Bombyx mori: one gene and its partner. The protein of the gene in region 1 binds, or shares a complex with, the protein of each later gene. Links are inferred from orthologs where the notes say so. Each region holds a gene or a part of one and is shown on either strand. Other genes may lie near its edges.

Region 1 (4,445 bases):
TAATCAAGTTGCTACATATAGCGGTTGTAAATATCTTATATCTATGCAAGTCTTTCATATACTAATAAAATACATAATAAGCAAATGTTCTCGATTAACTTCCAAGGTGAAAGAAATAACATTGTGTAATAAAAATAAAAACCGCAAAATTATAATTTGCGTAACTACTGGTGGTAGGACCTCTTGTGAGTCCGCGCGGGTAGGTACCACCACCCCGCCTATTTCTGCCGTGAAGCAGTAATGCATTTCGGTTTGAAGGGTGGGGCAGTCATTGTAACTATACTGAGACCTTAGAACTTTTATCTCAAGGTGGGTGGCGCATTTACGTTGTAGATGTCTATGGGCTCCAGTAACCACTTAACACCAGGTGGACTGTGAGCTCATCCACCCATCTAAGCAATAAATAAAAATAAAAAAACAGATTAATTTAGACATATTTTATATGAGTCGACTATTATCAAAGCCGGCAATCTGACTTTTGGACAATGATTGGTAAATCAGAAAAACGAATTATTGACTTTGTATTCCATTGGCAGTCACAAAACTCTTCTGAACGACATCTTAGATAAATAACAGGTTAAGTATTAACCTTTATTTAATGCAGGTTTTGAACCGTATTCTTTGAAGGAGACGATTATATTCAAATCAATCTGTATTGACATATCAATAGGAGCCTCTGGGTCTGCGGAGGGACTTCGGTTCCCTCTGTATTTTGTACCGTATGTTCCATGGGGAGTGCTCTGAGGAATTGTTCGAGATGATACCAGCATCTCGTTTTTACCATCGCACCGCCCGCCACCGGAGTAGAGTTCATCCATACAACCTGGAGCCACTGCGATCATCCACAGTGCGTTTCCAGAGATCTTTTTTGCCACGTACCATCCGGCTATGGAATGAGCTCCCCTCCATGGTGTTTCCCGAGCGCTATGACATGTCCTTCTTCAAACGAGGCTTGTGGAGAGTATTAAGCGGTAGGCAGCGGCTTGGCTCTGCCCCTGGCATTGCTGAAGTCCATGGGCGACGGTAACCACTCACCATCAGGTGGGCCGTATGCCCGTCTGCCTACAAAGGCAATAAAAAAAAAATAAAAAAAACATATCAATAAAATTTTTTTGTCCAAATGCACAGATTGCCACCTTTGATAATAGACAACTCATATCAAGGCGAGAACTTACAAATTGGCACAGAGCTATCACGTTCATGCCTGTCTCGTATATAGCTTGCTGTGAGGGCATGACATTTGCCATCTACAAGCTTCCCTTCTCTTTCTCTTGATACCTGTTATTAAAAAAAATTACAATAGATTAATTTTTCGATAATATCCTATTAATAAAATAAATTTAAGTATGCATTTTCTCTACGCATTATTTTCAAATGAAGTGATGAGAGGTAATCATATTATTATGTGGTCCACATTATTTATTTGGTGGAAATTTCCCATGATGCCAAAAGTCACCTATAAGTTTAATAATTAACTTAAGTTCTTTAATAAAATTTTGTAGTGCTTTTGTTTCTCTTTGAAATAAATAAATCAAGGGCTTATGAAATAAGAGCTTCGGGAATGAAGTATTTTTTAATTATTTTAATAAGTTTCATGAGGTCTCTTTTTGTTATATATTGTAAATCTTCATTAGTTAAAAATTTCAATTTTTTTTATTTATCTTGCTGTTTCAAACTGGAATCTATGCCCTAGTTCCTTAGGCTGATTACTATTTGAGGAGCACTCAAAAGGAGAAAACAATTTATGATCATTTATGTTTTTCTAGCAGAATGATAAAGCCACAAACATGGCACCTACTTTTTAGGTATTAAATTACGTACAAGTGTTTCATCCAGTATCCTGATACTGAAATTTAGCAATCACAAATCAATAGAGCATGGGTCAAGGGTGGAAGGTTCTAATATTTTTTGTCTATGCATTTGTTACTTAAATTTGTTTTAAAATAATTCCAAAACAAAAGTAGAGCAGAAACTGGGCGTTTTGGACATGACATGAGAGGAGCTAGAACAGACTGCCCAAGACTGATATAAATGGAAGAATTTTATTTGAGCCCTACATCACGGCCTAGGGAAATAGAAAAGAAAGAAGAAGATAATTCCAAAAATATAGTACTAATCATAGATAACAAATGCACAATATTTTTTGTTCAGACTTATAAATTGAAACTTACATCAGGATGAATACATAAGTTTTTCCTGGAACTAAGAACAACTCCTGTTAAGTTCGGTTTCTCTCCTTGAGATTTCTCATAATAATTGAATAAATTCTTTAGTTCTTCTAACACTTTTTCTATTTCTGGCACTGTACGAGAGCAGTAGATTAACTTTCTGAAAAAGTATATGTACATATTTTTTTATAATTAATTAATTTTAATCATTAATGTTCTTGTTCATTTTAATTACCTGACATGATGAGGGTTCTGTATCATATAAGCTACGATTAAAGACAGGAGCGATATGGTTTTTCCGGTTCCGGAAGGCATCTCTAACAATCCATGTCCCTACAAGTTCAAGCAAGATACACAACATAACCTTAAAATTTTAGGATTTTGTTTAAAGTAGATTCCTTTTTTAATACAGATTTTGAATACCTTAGCGTCCAATGCACGTTTTAACTCTAACATATAAGCATACTGTTCCGGATAAATGTAATCGTATGGGAAATAGACCAATAAACCATCGACAGTTAGCCTGAAAAAGTAATGAGATTATTAAATTAATGGTATTTGTTTTTTTTATATATTCATTTATTAGTGACATACTTCATGGTGAAAATATAAGCCCTTCACAACTATCTATTTTAAATAATTATAAACAAACAAGTCAAGCAATACATGAATTAATTAAATAACCACTTTGTTTTGATTCGAGTGACAGACATATATTAAGTGTATAATCTATGTGACAGACTACCACAGAACACTATTACTTGCAGACTACCTACATTAAAAACTAATAATTTTTAATGGCTTTTATAACCTGGTAACTAAGACTTTTAAGTCATGTCTTATTTTAATTTATATAATTATTTTTATGAAAAATGATAAAATGGAGTGAAATGAAATGAAATGATAAATGACCACCATTTTACTGCGATTATATTTCATCCCATATCATCTCATCTCATTTCATTTTATTTCATCCTAGTTGATTAATGTCTCAAAATTATCATCTTGATTTCATTTCACTCCATATTATCATTTTTCATAAAAATAAGAATACCTATAAATTAAAATAAGACATGACCTAAAGGTCTTAGTTACCAGGTCATAAAATCACTTAAAAAAAGTGTAAGAAAGAAAAACACAAATAGTGACAAAATGACAAAATTAACATAGCAAAACATTGTTATTTTGATAATTATGGGGAGCGATACAGTCTGTCGGATCTGTCTGGAATTTAATGTTAAAATGTACAGTTTAAAGTTTTATCCATTGGAGACCTATTATGAAGATATCGTAGAAGTTAACGTAAGTTACATTCATTCGGAAAAGCTATTGTGTTGGATTTGTAACGTTTGACCGGGTTCTAGTTTGTATAGGAATTGAATTTGGTTTTTGTAATATTTAATAGTGAATTAAACAGTTTGTCATAATAATGATATTCCGTGAAAAGTAAATGCAACTTCTAAGATAAAAACAACAATTCTAACCTCAAATCCCGTAGAGCACGAATAATTATAAACTAGTAGATAGGTCGGCCTTTTTTTTACTGTCCTACATTGTTCCAATTTTCAATAAAAAAACGTGTATCAAAACAAAAACATGTGTATTTAAAAAAAAAAAATTATAATACCTTATTTGGATTCGCTGCTTGCTGCTTAATTGCTTTGGGATTATAATTGTTTATTCATACTTTGTTAATTGACGATGTTTTTATTTATTTTGCAGCCCGAATGTTCTCCAGATCTACCACAGTGTGTATGTTATCTTTGTGCAGGATTATTGAAAAAGTATAGCAGATTTAAAAGTAAATGCTTAGTTGCACAATCCTTATTTTATAAAATACTAAAGTCTGGTAAAAAGGTAATATTAGATTTTGTTCAAACCTTTTGTTAGACATTTTTATAAGTATAGGATGCATATTCTTTGGATCGTAGAAGTTAGTGCTATGATTTGTTCTAGCTTTTTCTCTCTGCTGAACAAAAATATAATCAAATATAAGTTTAACTAACTGTAGATCTAAAATTGGGAAACTAGACAAAACTAAATTACATAAAATTATTCAATTATGAAATATTAAATATAAATTATTAAAAAATGTGTGTCAAATCATGCTGATTATTCTAACTGAATTGGTGTCATATTATGGAAACAATCCTAACACATGCTCACAAAAGATTTCCAAGGATTAATTACGTGATAAAATAATAAATAAATCCACACATACTAAAAACCTTCCTTCCTTTTGTGTTTTCTAGAGATCTTTTAACAGTAAACAAACTG
Region 2 (3,084 bases), on another chromosome or scaffold:
GCAACACAAGTGCCAAGCTACAGATTTATTAACTGAATGTTGTTTATAATTGGAAATGATAAGGAACAACGGAGTACGTTAACTCGACAATCATTATTTACTGCGTAATTAATAATATTCTAGTGAATATTAATACATATGAATATATTTTAGTGATTTGGTTTATAGAGATAGCCAGTGGCGTAGCGAGGGGGGGCAAGGGGGGATCATGCCCCGGGCGCTATTCACAAAGGGGCGCCAAATGGTCCGCAAAACAAAAAATTGCTGATTTTTTTTTTATAATTGATTTCTAAAAAATATATTTTTAATTTAGTACCAATGTACTATAATAAATGTTAATTCGTAAATAAAAAGGAAAAAAGGGGAGTTTCCACGCGAGTTTAGATCGTTACGCCACTGCACATAGCTTATGTCGAAGATAACCTAGTTGTCCTTTATTTACATAGCCACAACTACAAGAAGTCTCGTTATAGTCATATTTTAATTACCGAAATTAATTGATGAAAAGAGTGGGAAAATTAAAGTTAACCGCAGGATGTGGCATCTTTGGTTTTTTTGTTGCCTAGATGTGTGGACGAGCTCACAGCCCACCTGGTGTTAAGTGGTTACTGAAGCCCATAGACATCTAAAACGTAAATGCACCACCCACCTTGAGATATAAGTTCTAAGGTCTCCGTATAGTTACAACGGTTGCCCCACCCTTCAAACTGAAACGCATTACTGCTTCACGGCAGAGATAGGCAGGGTGGTGGTACCTACCCGTCCGGACTCACACTATAATTTTGCGGGTTTGACTTTTATTACACGATGTAATATGTCAAGTACGTATTTCATTAGAAAAATTGGTACCCGCCTGCGGAACTCGGACACCGTTGCATCGCTAGATACGAATGTACCGGACGTTTATCCTTTAGGCCACGACGACTACAGGTCTACTGGCTTCTTCCAAAAACTCCATTGAGCTCTTAGTTAATTTCCAGCATTTTACCGAAACGTTATATACATCATTTCAGTTCATTCAACACATACATAAGGCTGGCAAGAATGAGTGAGAGAAGCTGAAGATCGTGCTCGGCAATTGGAGAGGCCTATTTTCAGCGTTGAACTACTATAAGTTGATGATGATGATACATAAGGTTAGCTTAGTTCCATTTTACATTCATTCACCAGCAAGGTTAAACATCTTTATTACAAAAAAATTGGTTGTATGAGCTTCGTTCCCTTTGTCTGTGTAGTAAATGAAACAAAAAATATGTGACAAGCACAGAGGTTAGAATTTGGCTAACAAGTTGATTGTTTGGAAGTGTTATTCGTTATTTATTTTGTTATATATTAGATGGTGTTAGTTTCATTAAAAAGAAACCTAATTCATTAAATTAGATTTAAGAAACAGAAAATGCCTTACGCAAATCAACCCTCTGTTCACATAACAGAACTATCTGATGAAAATGTAAAATTCGTTGTGGAAGATACCGAATTAAGCGTAGCAAACAGTATGAGACGCGTATTTATCGCTGAAACACCAACAATGGCCATCGATTGGGTACAGTTAGAAGCTAATTCCACCGTTTTGAGCGATGAATTCTTAGCACACCGCATCGGTCTCATTCCGCTCATATCAGACGACGTTGTAGACAAAATCAGGTACTCGCGTGATTGCATGTGTGTTGATTTTTGTTCCGAATGCAGTGTCGAATTTACATTAGACGTAAAATGCACAGATGAACAAACAAGACATGTAACAACTGCTGATTTGAAATCGAGCGATCCTAGAGTTGTCCCTGTTACATCACGACATAGAGATGAAGACCAGGCCGATTATGGTGAAGCAGATGAAATATTGATCATTAAGTTACGCAAGGGTCAGGAATTGAAGCTTCGGGCATATGCAAAAAAAGGTTTTGGGAAAGAGCATGCAAAATGGAATCCAACTGCTGGTGTGTCCTTTGAATATGACCCTGATAATATAATGAGACATACGTTATATCCAAAACCAGATGAATGGCCCAAAAGCGAGCACACTGAACTTAATGAAGATCAGTATGAGGCGGACTTCAACTGGGAAGCGAAACCAAACAAATTCTTTTATAATGTAGAATCATCAGGAGCTCTTAAACCAGAGAATATTGTATTAATGGGAATAGTTGTACTGAAAAACAAATTACTGAATCTTCAAGTGCAGTTAGCGCAAGAGGCACAAAATGATGCCTTAGCAATTAATTGATTTCATAAAATCTAATATTACAATAAATTTAATTAGATAATAAATGTTTTTGTAATTTAAGTTTACATTTTACCTTATGGTGTGTATAAGCCTTCATTTTTCAAAAGCTTAGAATGTTATACACAGTATTTCAGTCTGCAGTCTTTTTGAGAAAAAATCATACTAAAGTGAATGTTTCTGTTTCACATCAAAAACTAGTAATACTTGTGGAATGCAATTAAGAGGTTTATACACAACTTGCACAACATGAATACAACTTTAAACACAAATTAATACTACGGCCTTGTAATCACAAGAAACATATGATTTAATAATAATCTGCAGCTTTTTGCCTAAGAAGATACTCAGTAGCTACTAAATAAAAAAGGAAATTTTACTTTCTGATACATAGATATGGACAAAAAAATTAATGTTACAATAATTTCTGTTTAATTCATTGTACATATTAATTTAAGTAGTTAAACTTTCATAAAAGTATAGAAACTTAGAACCAATATTGTTTTATTATTATGTATACATAATCAATTAAAACATTTGTCACTTTATACACAGCAGTATTATTCTGTTGTTTAGAACAATTAGTGATGTGATCTTACTGCAAAAAACAATTCAAAATATTCATTAGATGTATATTTTTTAATTGCCCTTGTAGACAGACCAGCATACGGCCCACCTGATGGTGAGTGGTTACCGTCTCCCATGGACTTCAGCAATGCCAGGGGCAAAGCCAAGATGCTGCCTAGCGTGTTGAATAATATAAGTATTGGGTTCTTCAACAAATTTAAAAAGATTGAGAAATATGAAGATTAATAATTGTATTTATCAACTTATTTGCAGAATGCATGTTATTTAATTTAGTA

Evidence for each region.
Region 2: general transcription and DNA repair factor IIH helicase subunit XPD (region 1) and DNA-directed RNA polymerase II polypeptide share a complex: the UniProt entries of both Homo sapiens proteins name them as parts of the TBP-based Pol II pre-initiation complex. The link is inferred for Bombyx mori from reciprocal best matches to the Homo sapiens genes ERCC2 and POLR2C.

The regions. Positions count from the first base shown.
Region 1 is NC_085127.1:13,502,489-13,506,933, reverse strand, and holds the start of general transcription and DNA repair factor IIH helicase subunit XPD, read right to left. Parts: upstream 2,942-4,445; 5' UTR 2,768-2,941; coding exon 2,763-2,767; intron 2,692-2,762; coding exon 2,592-2,691; intron 2,502-2,591; coding exon 2,404-2,501; intron 2,329-2,403; coding exon 2,172-2,328; intron 1,279-2,171; coding exon 1,176-1,278; intron 1-1,175. Other genes in the region: zinc finger protein ZFP2, read left to right, coding at 3,363-3,470, 3,891-4,025. UniProt on the Homo sapiens protein: ATP-dependent 5'-3' DNA helicase. Component of the general transcription and DNA repair factor IIH (TFIIH) core complex, not absolutely essential for minimal transcription in vitro.
Region 2 is NC_085131.1:5,447,713-5,450,796, reverse strand, and holds DNA-directed RNA polymerase II polypeptide, read left to right. Parts: upstream 1-1,285; 5' UTR 1,286-1,396; coding exon 1,397-2,224; 3' UTR 2,225-2,255; downstream 2,256-3,084. UniProt on the Homo sapiens protein: Core component of RNA polymerase II (Pol II), a DNA-dependent RNA polymerase which synthesizes mRNA precursors and many functional non-coding RNAs using the four ribonucleoside triphosphates as substrates.